Caenorhabditis elegans: one gene and its partners. The protein of the gene in region 2 interacts with the protein of the main gene of each other region in a pairwise test. Each region holds a gene or a part of one and is shown on either strand. Other genes may lie near its edges. The genes, in order: isy-1, syf-1 and C50E3.13.

Region 1 (4,478 bases), on a different chromosome or scaffold from region 2:
CCAGTTTCACTATCAATTATCAAAATCGTTTCCGCATTTTTCAATTATGTGTTATATTTAAAAATAAAGGGTAAACGAACTTGAGTGGGGAATTGAAGATGATGTGCATCCGGAATGCATTTTCTTTCCGAATTGATGAAAAATATTGAATCTCAATGACTTCTTCACCCACCTTTTCGTTTTCTTGCCATGCGTCTTTTTTTTTTTAGATTTCCGAAATGTTTCTCAATTTGACATTTATTTTATTTTTCATAACTATAGAAGCAAATGCTTATTGCCCTTTTAAAAAGTAAGATTAATGTTTGAAGTCAATTTTTAAGAAAATGAGATCATGAGAATTCGTAAGTTTTCAGAGCATACGTCGATGATATTTTAATGATAACAACTGATGATTACTTATCTGTTGGGCAAGATGAAACATCCGAAGTTTGTGAAATTGAAATTCAAAGTCTAAATGGAAATCTTATACTTGTTTCCATTACCAATTTCCTTATGTTTTCCCATAGAAGACCACGGAATCCAAATGAAATTATATTACGAAACTCTGATATGCAGTTCATTGTGGACAGCAAGCCAAAGGTTAGATTACCGTAACAGTTACGAGAAATTATTAAAATTTTAGGGTTATCAATTAATGAAAACTCCAGTATGGTTGACAATTCCAATGAATCTGAATTTCCGATCGATTTTATTGTTTTCAAATCCAAAGGAATGCTCTTCATATGAGTCTATCAGATGTCCAGAATACAGCCTATGCTACAGTAACCTCATTTTTCACACAAAAACTGTTTTACCATTACTGATTTCTAGATTGCTCCAAATACTGTTTTTCTTCGAGTCTAGAATGTGATGGATTGGATACTTGCGGAGAAGATGAATCAACTTGTGCATTTATTACTGTAAGAAATGGTTTCAGAGATTCGAAACATTTATTTTATTTTTACAGCCACGTACACCTCACACTTCATACAGATATGGTAGAGATGCTTTATCATCAAGTCAGATTATGTTAATTGGATTCTTCGCTTTAAATGGATCATTTATAGGTGGATTCACATTTTCGAAAAAAAAAGATAACTTTTGGTTTACAGTATTCTTTCTGATATTATCACTATGTTCTGCCGGATTGTTCTATCGTTGCCCATTTTATGCCAAAAACAGCAACGCGTCTCGGCACACTTTTATTCGATATCTTCGGTGAGTCAACATGTCTGAAGTAGTATTATATTCAAAATAAATATCCCATCCGACACAAATAAAACAACTTTTTATGAGCTTAGAGCGTCTGAAAGATTAACCATAAAGCTCAAGGAAATACTTCCTTATTTAGTCTTAATTCTATATTATTGTAGACAAGCAATTCCTCCTGCACTTGCTCCACCACCTTCAGTTCAAGGGGACCAACCAAAAGATGAAGGAGAAAAGACATTAACTGTTCCGTCTACACCTACAGGTCATACACGACATCGTCATTCAATTCTGAGCAGGATTAATTTTCAACCTGCTCCTGCTTTGAGTGAAATTGAACCTGGTATTTGACAAAATTAGCTACTAAAACCATAATTTTCTTTAGAAGTGGAGGACAGAGAGCAATCACCACAAGAATCAATTTGTGAACCACCTGCACATCAGCCAGAAGTATTCCTTCGACGGCAAAGTCTTCCATTTGGACTCACTGCAGTTCCAGTCTCAAATGATTTAAATTCCAAAACTGATGATAAACGAAATAGATTCGCTTCAAGAGCTATGTCTTTTCAACATTAAATGAACTTATTTGTAATAAAGCTTTTACATTTATGATTTGTTTTCAATCAGAAAGAAACACTTTAAAAATTGCTCAATGATTGAAGGGTGTAAAATATTGAATTTGAATAACCGCCAATTGCTGCACAACGATACTCCGCTATTGCGCGAAAGTGCGCTCTATTTAGAAAATTTCATTTTCAAACATTTATTTTTTCGAAACAAAAATGCTCAATTTACTTTATATTTTTGTTTGATTCTGCTTTTATATCTTTTTATTTAATTTCGCAATTAAATTTAATTGTTTCAGACTTACTCGAGCTTTAAAAATGGCCCGAAATGCGGAAAAGGCTATGACGGCGCTAGCACGATGGCGAAGAATGAAGGAGGAAGAGGAGAGGGTAAGTTTTTCTTTTCATTTTACTCTTTTTTTTTGAATATTAATATCAAGATAATTTTAATTGCAGGGTCCTATTGCCAGAAGACCCCACGATGTGAAAGATTGCAGGAATTTGTCAGATGCTGAGCGATTCAGACGAGAGGTTAGATTTTGTATGAAAACCTGTAATTTTGAACTTTATTTAGATTGTGCGAGATGCTTCGAAAAAGATCACAGCTATCCAAAATCCTGGTCTCGGTGAATTCAAGCTTCGGGACTTGAATGACGAAGTTAATCGACTGATAAAACTGAAACATGCTTGGGAACAACGTATTCGAGAGTTGGGTGGTACGGACTATCGGTAAGAAAAATGACAATTAGACATATTATTCTTATTATTATTTTCAGAAAGTATGCACAAAAAGAACTCGATGCAATAGGGAGGGAAACGGGCAATTCCCGAGGTTACAAATATTTTGGAGCTGCAAAAGATCTTCCCGGTGTACGCGAACTATTCGAAAAAAGCACAGAAGGTGAAGAACAACGACGCCATCGTGCTGATTTATTGAGAAATATCGACGCTCACTATTTTGGTTACTTGGATGACGAAGATGGTCGCTTAATTCCTTTGGAAAAACTAATTGAAGAGAAAAACATTGAACGAATCAATAAGGAGTTTGCCGAGAAACAAGCTCAAAAGCAACAAACTGCTTCCGATGCAGCACCTGAAAATATCTATAAGGTCGAAGAAGACGATGACGACGACCTGGAAACTCAAGAGTCTACAGTCATCGGAGAGGATGGACGACCAATGACTATTCGTCATGTTCTACTGCCAACTCAACAAGACATTGAAGAAATGCTTTTGGAACAAAAGAAGCAAGAACTCATGGCTAAGTATCTGGATTGATTCCTTGTTTAATTTATTTTCTTTAAATTTTTCATCTCAAATTATGAATTTTCGGTTTTATTCATTTATTTTATTAATTCATAATAGAAAATTACAAAATTAGAAAAATGAAAGAAGATAATACAAGTAAACTGAGCGGCATCGTCGTTCGTGATGATGTGTTGCAGAATTCTCTGTGCGAACACATACACGCTATCTCAGATAACGATATCCTTTTGCAACCTTCTGGATAGTATGTGTGAATAAGTGTATCGTGAGGAAGGCAAGTGAGAGCAATTGAGACTCTGTTTAGATGGTTTCTGAAAATTAAGTTTGGAACTATTCAAATATAGAAATTGATTTTAAGTCAAGGTTTTGTAAGGTTATTTATTTAAATTTATTTTTGGTTAAAAAAATAGTTTTCCATTTGGATGGAAGGTTAAAAATTTGAGATCTTCCAACCTCTGAACTCGAAGACAAGCTGCTCCTTCGCACAATGAGCATGTATTAGATATCGCACAATCTGAACCGTCAAGGCACCACATCTGATGACTGTCACGACACAGAATTACAATGACAAGAAGAATTGAGACGCCGACGGTCATCGGCGCTCGAGCATGACCGGCTGAAAGTGGTGTCTGAAAAACTGACCAATACGAGTGAAGTTTATGGACATCAAGAGAGATGATGAATTGAGAATAATGTGTATTTGGGTAGAAGAAAGTTCCGTTTTATAAGTGAAAATCGATGAAAAACAGTAAAACAAAGAAATGGGAGGAGCCTATTTAGGGAATTCCGCACGTTGCACTTTTTTCCGTTTTGAACCTACCTAAAATTTAGATTATCTGTTTGACTGTAGACATGAACAATTGAAAAAAGATAGAATGGCTGATCACAATAATACTTTGAAAATAGGCTCCGCCCAGATCTTGGCTTTTTGAGCTTTCTTGGATTTAATTTTTTTTTCTAACTTTTGTCTTATATTCTCACAACTCCGGCGCGATCCCCTTCCCGAGACTACAGTATTCCTACAGTAACCCTACAGTATACAGTACCTTTACCGTACTACAGTACCTAGATCCTATCTCCACAGTAACTTCTGCTCACTATCCCATCAAAAGCCAGAAGTTCATTAACTGCAATGTCTAAAAACTGCCTGGATTTAGAAAAACAATATTCAACACTAAAAGTTTATATTGTTGAATCAGGAAATTCCGTCACATGACAATTTGATAAAACATTCATATCAAAAAGAATTCGGCGAATTCTATCGGCAGGTGAAAAAAACTCAAACTCCGACTTTTGATATAATACTAGTAATTCACTTAGTGGTCACCCCGTACACCGCCCCGTGAATAGAATAAAACAAGGAAAATGGGGGTGGTTGTTGTAGAGTATTCTTACTAGGCAATAGTAGTAGTATCAAAGTTAGTGACAAGCGGTCCATGATGAAGGAATAAAGTGTGT
Region 2 (4,968 bases):
GATATTGTACATCTAAAATGACAATTTTGAAGAATTTGCGGGTTTTATCGGGTTTTATCGTGATTTTTCGTTTGAAAAATTGAATTTCGCGAAATTTTGTTGTTTTGAAGTGTTTTTAACTATAATTTTTGCGTCGTTTTGTTCAATTAAATCCAATTTTTGTCAATTTTCAGCAAGAATTTACAACATTTGGTCTCAGGAAGCTATAGATATATTAAAAATAAAACATTTATATTCCAAAAATTTTTGCGTCTTTAGCAGGAATATTGGATTTTCGTATAGTTTTTTTCGAATAAAAAGCTACACTATGCGCAATTTCGACTGAAAATTTCGAATTTTGTGCCTTTTTCTTTGCAGAAAGCTATGATTTTCCTATTTCCAGGTATTTTTGAGCTCTAAAGCGCTGAAAATTCAGGATTTTTTAATTTAAAATTGAGCTTTCAACATTTTTCAATATTTTACAAAAAAAAAATTGTGCTTACCGAGTGCATATCGGCACGGTCAACTCCTGAGCAGGCTCTGTTGTATATGGAAAGAGCATGCCTGGCGAGTCCGTGCTCTTCTTCCAGTTTGGCATAGAGTAAGAAAATATCTAAAATAAATTTGGTATTGTTTGATTTATTTCAACTTTTTCAAAAGTTCTTACATTTCGCATGGGTTGGTGGGCAGTTTTCCAGACATTGCTCAAACAAATCACGTGCTCTTTCCAGCTTCTTTCCACCGTATCTTTTAATGAATTTGACCAAATATGTATTCCAAATATCAAAAACTCCGGGCCACTTGAACAGAGCAATTCCCTTCTCGTAGGCTTGGAATGCCAGCTCGAAATACTCATTCTCCTCCAAAAACATTGCGTAATTCATAATCATCTGTGGAGAAGCTACACGAAGCTCGATCATCTTATCATAAACTTTCCGACAAGACTCAACAGTTCCACAACATTCCTCATAATCCGCGTACATTGCCCATAGAATCGGACTTCTGTGAACTCTTGCTTGAACTGATTGCATATTCTCGTAATCTCCTGGCTTCGGAACAACACATGCTCGTTGCATAACTGTCAGTGCAGCTTTTGCTCTTTTATGCTTCATTTCCATTTCGGCATACGCACACCACACATTTGCAAGTTCACTGACACCTCCGAATTGTGAGATCACAGCGGTCTCGAACGTCTTACGAGCAGCATCCAAGTCACCATTATCCTCATACAACTTGGCAAGACCGATCCAGAGATCACGAACTTTTCCGACTTGAATTTTGGGATTTACAGATTTTACGGCTTCCTTGAATGTCTCAATTTGCTTGTTGTAATTTCCTTCGTAGATATTCACTCGGTTGAGCCATTCTCCAACATTATGTGGATTCTGCCGGAGAAGTACACTGTTCATTAGTTCATTCTTTCTTTCCATCAAATGTTGATATCTGGAATTTCAAGAGGGTTTTACAAATTTATAGTTAAACGATTTGAAGGTAAAGGTAAAGGTAAAGGCTTTACAAAGAGATTTTGCAAAAATTGCTCAACACATTTTTTTCAAAAAGGGCTTCTTATCGGTGCTAAATTTCGAAAAAAAGGCCAATTTTAGCTAAAATCTCCAATTTTTTCCAACTTTTCCGTGCCCGGTCATTGATTTTTTTTAAATTTTAATATACCTTAGCGTTAGATAAACTGCACAAATAAAATAAAAAATACGAATAATCTGACATTAATCAAGTAAATGTCATGTTACGACCGCTGCGACACGGAAAAGTTGGCGAAATTGGTGATTATAGCTGAACTTAGGTCATTTTTTTGAATTTTTGACATACAAACCTCTGGAACATCCACTCAAGATCAACTTCTTCTTCCGGATCACCACTTTGTTCCACTTCTTGCATCATAATCGACACTTCTCGTTCTTCAAAAGCTGCATAAGCATCATAAACTTGAGCGAAATCTCGTACAGTTGACACTTTAGCAATAGCCTCCTCATACACGTCTCGAGCCTGAAATCAAATTTGTGCTCAGAAAAAAAACACTTTTTCAAATTTACTCTTTCGAACTCTGCGCTACGAATGTAATAGTCGGCTAGTGAGCACCACAAAAATCCAACTTGATCCGTGTACCGATAGATTCCTTGACGAATAATTGCGTCGACGTTCAGCGAGAAGATCTTTACTGGATTCTTTGAGATCAAATCACACAGCTGAGTCCACAGTTGATGTGCAGTTCTTCCTTTTTCCGAAACATTCTGATCTTGATTTACTAGAGTTGTCAATTCTTTTGCTGCCTCGTCGATTTGATCTCTTTCAATAAGATACTCAACGTAATCCTCACGAGCTTTCGGATTCATCTTCAAATATCTTCTGTAGACACGAATTGTAGTTTCTGGCAGATCGTGACTTGTCAGAAAGCCGATATACAATGTCCAGATACGCATGTGCTGGGTGACTGGAAGAGAACGGAGAGCTCGATCGAAAACTCGTCTGGTCTCTGTGATGAGGCCTCTTTTGATCATCACTTCGCAGTAACAAATCCAAATACGTGGCATCTTGTGTAATCTCATGAGACATCTCTCATAAGTGTCACAGAGTGCTCTCCAGGAGTTGTCTGTTGGGCATTTGTTGACAATTGTGCTTTCTCTGTATTTCAGATAATGATACCAAAGTTTGTAGCTTCTTTCGAAAACTGCAAGTGCACGTTCGTAGATCTGAAATTAAAAAATGTTTTTTGAAGAAAATTAAATGAAAATTACCAAAAACATCTGCTTGGCAGGAGATTTGTTCTGCAATTTGTGATCGATATATCTCTGCCAACAATTTACTGACGTGGGATTTCTAATGATATCCTCTTCAAACGGAACATCTTCGGAAGACTGAAAATTGCATTATTGTTTCCTGTTCTGATTGTTTCTTCACTTACGATCCCTTTCATCGTCTCAGAGTTCGGCATTTTTTCAATTTTTGTTGCATTTTCTTTGTCGGCCATTATCTGGAAAGATAAAAATATAACAAATTAAAAGTAATCCGAGCTTTAAATATTAAAAAGAATATGAATAAAATTTAATTTTCGAAAAATGCGGGAGATTTTTGATCGTCGGTTCTGGTGTATGCAGACCGAAAGAGTACGCAATTGTGGACCGTAGTCTGGTGTGGAAATACGCGTTGGCTTTTCAGGAAAAAAGATTTTATCGAAAAAAAACGTTGTGATTTCACATGTGAATTGTTTTTGTTCAATTTTAATTATTAATCTTAATTATTGAAATTTTGTAATCATGTACTTCGAATGTGTTTTTCTACAAAACATTGATAAATTCTCGGTTTCCCTGTGCAAGTATCCGAATTTTCAGAATGTCGTCGTTTCGGCAGTTTGTCTGGGATCCAGTGCTCCTCGTCAGTCAAATGACGTGTCTTCAGACATTTTTCTACGCTACTCAAACTTCAGTAATGCTGTTCTGCAGCTTTTTCGGCTACGAACCTCTCATTTCCTCTATTTTCTCAATACAGGTTTGGATTTTCCCAGTCTATTTAATTTTAAAATTATTATTTCAGACACAACGATCAATGGCATTAATTCAATTAGTTTCCGCCGTCGGAGTCTCATTCGCACTGTCGCATTTAGTGCAACGTGCGAAACAATGCCTGGATTTTGCCTGTACAGTGCACTTTTTCCATTTAATATTTACCACTATTTACAACCATGCTCTTCCAACCCAATTTACATGGTTAGGATTTAATTATAAAACTTTTGAAATTCAAATTCCTTTTTAAGGTGGATTCTTCAAGTAATATCGACAACAGTTTGCACGGTTCTTGGAGAATATCTGTGCATGCGAATCGAATCGCAGGAAATAAAATTGGAAGGTGGTCCTTCTCGCTACGATCTTTAATATAATCAGAGAAGCATATTTAAATTATTCAGCTCATTTTGCGGGTGTTTGATTCGATTATTAAATAGACAGTTCCTGTAAATTATCAATTAATTCGGTGTAAATAAACTGATGTTTCTTCTTCTTTCTTCTCTTGTAAATTAGGAGCATGAGAAAGTCAGAAGAAAGTAAATAATAAAGATTTTATGAATAAAATAGAAAACAGGGAGTTCAATCACAGATGATGTGTAATATGCAATACAAGGGGATAGTGAGCGAAGGGGGGACAGAATACAGGAAAAATAGAAGCTAAAAACCCAAAATTGGCTCCTAAAAAAAAGAAGGGGATTGACAATAAATTATTTAGCGAGTGTGATGGAAGGCGAGAGACTAGCTTATAAAAGCAATTTTAATATTGACAAGAATATGGGAAAAATCTATATTTTGATTTTTGGCAATTATTTTCCTTTGTTCTGGGCTTCCTCGACGAGTTTATCCTTGATCGATTTCATAAAATCATGGGTTGCAGCTTGAGCCGGCGACAATTCAGTCTGGGCATCTCTCTTGATTGGTTCATAAGCAAACTTGAGCCCGGTTCCAGCATTCAAGCTTGAAGATTGTTCTGCAGATGGCTCCGACTCATTTACCAGCTCGATTCCCCATTCATTGTCCTCATGAACGACGGTTTCTTCTTCTGGAACTTCCACTTCAAGATCCACAGGTTGATTGGCAACCTTCTCTTCGTATTCTTTTTGTCTTTGCAGACAGTGAGAGTCGTCGCAGTATGGGTTCGGCTTGATGCTGTCACGAGGGAAAAAGTCTGATAATGCGTTGTATCCAACGTACTGGGAGACTTCTCCAAAGTTCAGAAGGTATTTCAGCGTGTTCATCACCAAAAATCCAGCAACTACAGCCATTGTTGTTGGAAGTGACGCAGCACACACTCCATCGCGTTTCAACGTACGCTCGTCAATTCCCGAAGCGACAACGAGTGGAGGAACACACTGAAAAAATGAACATTTGTTTTGATTTCAAGGATGAAACTTCACTTACAGCAAAACACGCCGTCTTTCCTGGTTCGATATACTGAATATGGCCGGACACGGCATTCTCACTGACTCCA
Region 3 (4,968 bases), on a different chromosome or scaffold from region 2:
TGAATTTATTGGATTTTTTTTCAAATTGTTCATACCTCTTCTGAACCATCTTCTGCATTTGACTGCCGTCCACTTTGCTCTTCCGCTGGCTCATCTTGTTCTTGTTCTTTTCCTTGAGTTGGTTCACCATTTGTCTTCTAAACATTCATGTTAATGCTTAATTTAATTTTTGAAACAGGAAAATTCAATCTTACCTCTTCGATATCAGCTGCAGACTCTCCAGACACATTCATCTCTTACAGTTAGTAGCGATTTGAGATGTAATCTGAAAATTTACAAATTTTGTTTAAAACTTAAAACGAAGTTAAAAGAGGGAAAACTGAAAATTGTCAAATTAAAATAGAAAAAAAATATAACTGACCAAAACAATCGATTATAGCGAGGGAAAGGAAGAATATTCGGAAAAGGACACCGGTAATTTTTCCGGGACAATTGTAGGTCAAACAACAACGGTCTTATGAATATTCGAGGGGAACCCCCTCCCGCGTTACAAAAAACATTAAAACATGCGTACATTGTAGATCAAAAAATTTCATATCATTTTTTATCGTTTTTTGTCAAAATTGCTATCGAAAATAAAGGTCGTAATCAATATTTAATCAATATTTACCTGAAATGAAATAAAATAAATAAGATACATCAAAGAAAATTGATATTAAAAAATAAACAGACTGGATTATAAAATAAAGATTTAAAATAAATTAGTATCAACTTGAGTTCATCATTATTTTAGCAACTTCTTCCAAGAGCCTGGGAAGATGTGGATGGAGCATTCCACATGCTTGCGCTGCTTCCCGATCCTCCTTCATCATCATCACGACGTGGTCGCTTGGGCCTCCAATTCGATGGACCTTCCTGATGATCAATCTCTGCTTCATCCTCTGATTCCTCTTCGTCACTCTGATACACAGTTCCTCCACTATCGTTCAAATCAGGATCATCAGCACCCAAGCCTTCTGTTCCACGCGGATTTAAATATTCTGCACGATTAGTTGATATTCCTCCGCCACCTATAACAGGGTTGACCACAAGACTCAGAAGCTCAAGAAGATCTGGTAATTCATCGACATGATGTTCATCTTCATCCTCAGAATCGTAATCTTCTTGGTTCGAAGGACCGGCCCGATTTGATGCACGTTCCCTGCGACGATCTTCTTCGGTACGTTGTCGAGTAGCTACTAAACGCTCATAGTCTCGAATCGCTTGTTCATGCGGCTCCCGTCGTCTTTCCCAGGAATTTGCGACACGGTTCAACCGATCATTCAGAGTTTCCATCCAAGTATTAACACTTTGATCTGTTGGATTTTTAAATCTTCTCAATCTCCAAATAAAGGTTTTTCGGGCGATTCGTTCCCTTTCATACAGTTCGGCCCGCGCCCTTCTCAGTAGAAGCACTCGGTTTTGCACAGTTCGGATAGCCAAATTTTCGGCAGCCTCGTCTTCGTAGTTTCTCCGATTTTCAAGAACATCTAGCCTTCCAAGATATCCAGCTCGACTTCTGAGTTCGTTTTCTTTTTGTAAGAGTTCCTCTCCAAGTGATTCTGTCATTCTAATTAGTTCCAGCTCCTGCCGATATTCATCTTCCAATTCTTCTAGTCGTGCTACTTCTGCTCCAATTTGAATAGTGGTGATCAGTTGACTGGGATTCTGAAAAATAAAATTTGGAAAAGTTGTTATATTTTTAGAATCAGTATTACCACTGCTATCAAGTATTCCAAATTTGGTGGAACTTGCAGGTTATCGGATGCGTTTGGAACTTGTGGTTGAATCGGTGGCTGCCTGGCAGTGAGATCCTGTAAAATAAAAAAAATAAGCCTGACTTCACCACTAATCAACCTTCAACTAGAAAATTGCACAAAATGAATCAAAAGCAGACATAAAAAACTTCCAGAACATTCTCCGAAAATCGAAAGAATCTCGTTCTTTTTGTTACGAAACATAAATCCTCTCAAAAGCTAAACCCACAAAGTTTAATTTTACTGAAGACAAAACGTTCAGCTTCGGTCAATTAAAAAACTGAAAGCCAGAAGTGTTATAAATTATTATTTCGTTTGCTTCTCCGATTTCAGAAAAAGTATAAATAAACAAAAAATCATTTTCACTATTTAGGTACCGTGGTAATTTTTAAAGCACTAGGTAATCTTTAGAATCCCACAAGAACTCATTCAATACCTCATCTGCGCTCTCCTGATCATTTGGCTGCGGAACTCCTTCCAATACTGGCTCAACTCGTTCTTGCTCTTGTCCTTGTCGGGACGATCCACCGGCGTTGCTCTGAATTGCTCTTTTCAAAAAAAAGTTAAATTCTTTTACTTACATCACTGGCTCCCGCTTCTAATTCTTCAGGTCCGGACATCACTCGGCGTGGAGAGGAAACTCGAAGAAAAACGTTTGGATCGTAACAAGAAAGAGAAGAATGAGTTCAATTAGATCATTGTTCTATTTAATTAATAATTAGATCAAGGAGTATTTTGCGAGAACAAAGAAATCTCAGCGCTGGAGAATTTTGTAGATCAAAATTATTTTAGTAGATCATGAGTATATTTTTTAAAGTAATAAAAATTTATGAAATCATTTACATAAATATAACACGTATAAAGGAAAATTATTAAAAATTCAATCATCCAATCGGCTCAATTTGTGCCCAAATAACAGTTTTGAATTTTTGAAGCAAAGTCAGTTCAAATTTTATAGAAATTTCGAGCATATTTCCAGCGGTTCTTTTGATGTTTTAATAAGTGTTTAAAATTTTTCAAAAATTTTCAATATTTTCCCCGACAATCTTTCAATAAAATAACTTGTGATAACTTGATCTTTCTTTAACTATCCAAATTCCTCCTCATTTGACCTTTGTCTTCAAAATCAAGTCAAAATCAAAGAAACATAAGTTTTGTAATTTTTCGTGTGAAATTCTGTTTCTATCATCATCATTATGTTTCGGTGTAACTTTATGTGTCAAATTCTTTTTTAGGTCGTCTTGACCGACCTTCAAAAGACCGAGATAAGACAGGAGGCGTGGCACCACATAAAGGAAGTTTTGGAGAAAAAGTTTTAGTTGTTCTTTCATTTATTTCTCAGTTTCCCTTAATGTGTATTGAGTTTTGAACCTGTTACAAGTATTTTTAAACTTTAAAACAATATTTTCGTATGTTTAGTATGTACAAATTGACCATCTTCCTTCTTGTTACCCTTCTTGGGCTCACCGTCGGTCAATGGGGTCCAGGATTCGGTGGGCCTGGATTTGGAGGACCTGGATCTGGAGGACCGGGACCACGTGGCCCAGGAGAATGGAATAATGGCGGTGGACGTGGTGGATTTGGAGGAAATAGTAAGTTCCTGTTTTGTGAGAGTTTTTTTTGTGAAACTTTGGCCTTCTTTATCTAAAGTTTGATAGGTATGTGGCATTTTTATCAGATCAAAATAGGAAAATTGACTTCCTTGTTACTTATCGGAACATATTCTTCTTCAAACAGTGCATCGTGTGTTTGATGGACCTTATATCCTATACAAGACTCAGTTCTTATCCTCGCTCACATCAAAGATAACAAGAAATATTAAATTATAAACTACAGAAACAAGACATATTTTGTTTGAACAAAAAAAGATAATTTGAGCTATTCATGTTTATCGATAAAGTTAATTTCAATTCCAGACGGATGGAACAATGGTGGTGGTGGTTTCAATGGAAATGGTAACTTATTATTTTTATTCTCAGTTTATTTAAATTTGATATTTCAGGTGGATTTAATGGAGGTGGTCGTGGAGGCGGACGAGGTGGAAACGGTAAGAACTCTTCTTGTTGTATAATAATTGATTTTTGATTTTTTTTTTGAAGTGTTAGATCAAACTAACAATTAATAATTTCAATTTTTAGGTGGATTTGGAGACAACGGAGGTCTGCGTGGAGGAAATGGGGGAGGTCGCGGTGGTAACGGAGGTCGGTTTCAATCCAACTATTGAAAGTTTCAAAGTTGCTTGAATTAAAAATTTTCAAGCAATCTTTTTTTAAAAATACCACAAATTCCAAAGCATGATTATGTTAGAATGTATTGTTAAACTATTTACAGGATTTGATGACAACGGAGGTGGACGTGGAGGAAATGGAGGAGGTCGCGGTGGTACAGGAGGTCAGTTTTCCCTCAAGTTATTGAAAACTTTCAAAGCTTTTAAAATCAAAAATTAAAATCTAAGCAATTATTACAAAAATATCACAAATTCGAAAGAATAGCCTGGTTGAAAAATAAAAATACACTCTTTTCAGGATTTGGTGACAACGGAGGCGGCCGTGGAGGAAATGGAGGAGGTCGCGGTGGAAACGGAGGTATTCAATAGTTTAAGTGAAAAATTATAATTCTTCTATCATCGTTTTAGATTTTTCAATGGGACTGTTAGATTCAGAAAATGTGTTTATCATAATTTAAAATAATTTTAAATGTTCAAATATTTTCTCGTTTAGGAGGAAACAATGGAGGAGGCCGTGGTGGAAATGGAGGAGGACGTCCACAAATTTGTAAGTTGCATCATAAACTTCAAGTTATCAAAACTTGACTTTTTCAGCTGCCGGCGAACGTATTACCCATAATGTTCTTGGAGCTCTTCTTGGATAACTTTGTTTTTTATAATCAGCATTTGATTTTAATAAATAATAAAAAAACTCAAATTAAACTTTAACTTTGAAAAACTTTACATTTTTGTGAACATTTTTCACTTGAAAATTACTCTTTTTACAACTACTATATCAAGGCTAAACTAATTTTTATTCAGTTCTGACTTACTTCGTTTATTCATTTATTAAGCAAATTGTATATCGACGAAAAATGAACGAACACACGGAAATTAGAGATTAACGCTCTAACAATCGCTGTTCAAATACCGTTTTAATTTTTTGATAGTAAACAATTTGTTGTGGTGTAAACCAAGCTTCCATTAAAATCTGTTCAAACAATATCCTCATAAACTTCGACCCTT

Evidence for each region.
Region 1: the proteins of syf-1 (region 2) and isy-1 interact in a two-hybrid assay, tested with the Caenorhabditis elegans proteins (one large-scale study listed by BioGRID).
Region 3: the proteins of syf-1 (region 2) and C50E3.13 interact in a two-hybrid assay, tested with the Caenorhabditis elegans proteins (one large-scale study listed by BioGRID).

The regions. Positions count from the first base shown.
Region 1 is NC_003283.11:10,998,275-11,002,752, reverse strand, and holds isy-1 (Protein isy-1), read left to right. Parts: upstream 1-2,053; 5' UTR 2,054-2,072; coding exon 2,073-2,144; intron 2,145-2,210; coding exon 2,211-2,285; intron 2,286-2,328; coding exon 2,329-2,483; intron 2,484-2,530; coding exon 2,531-3,032; 3' UTR 3,033-3,090; downstream 3,091-4,478. Other genes in the region: F53B7.4 (Low-density lipoprotein receptor domain class A), read left to right, coding at 219-289, 354-579, 623-761, 811-899, 947-1,046, 1,092-1,197, 1,353-1,531, 1,574-1,764; nssp-65 (Activin_recp domain-containing protein), read right to left, coding at 3,124-3,331, 3,474-3,616. UniProt on the Caenorhabditis elegans protein: Regulates the processing of the mir-60 microRNA (miRNA), which in turn negatively regulates the expression of the transcription factor zip-10. Does not affect the splicing of zip-10.
Region 2 is NC_003279.8:3,875,063-3,880,030, reverse strand, and holds the start of syf-1 (Pre-mRNA-splicing factor SYF1), read right to left. Parts: upstream 2,969-4,968; 5' UTR 2,966-2,968; coding exon 2,900-2,965; intron 2,853-2,899; coding exon 2,733-2,852; intron 2,688-2,732; coding exon 2,031-2,687; intron 1,984-2,030; coding exon 1,811-1,983; intron 1,423-1,810; coding exon 647-1,422; intron 593-646; coding exon 483-592; intron 13-482; coding exon 1-12. Other genes in the region: T03F1.12 (Protein SYS1 homolog), read left to right, coding at 3,328-3,483, 3,529-3,701, 3,749-3,866; uba-5 (Ubiquitin-like modifier-activating enzyme 5), read right to left, coding at 4,304-4,849, 4,899-4,968.
Region 3 is NC_003283.11:7,621,797-7,626,764, forward strand, and holds C50E3.13 (uncharacterized protein), read right to left. Parts: upstream 2,457-4,968; 5' UTR 2,357-2,456; coding exon 2,318-2,356; intron 2,275-2,317; coding exon 2,173-2,274; intron 1,794-2,172; coding exon 1,698-1,793; intron 1,648-1,697; coding exon 730-1,647; 3' UTR 531-729; downstream 1-530. Other genes in the region: C50E3.12 (uncharacterized protein), read right to left, coding at 36-137, 195-233; grsp-4 (Glycine Rich Secreted Protein), read left to right, coding at 3,157-3,328, 3,653-3,691, 3,739-3,783, 3,875-3,937, 4,068-4,127, 4,262-4,321, 4,457-4,510, 4,558-4,607.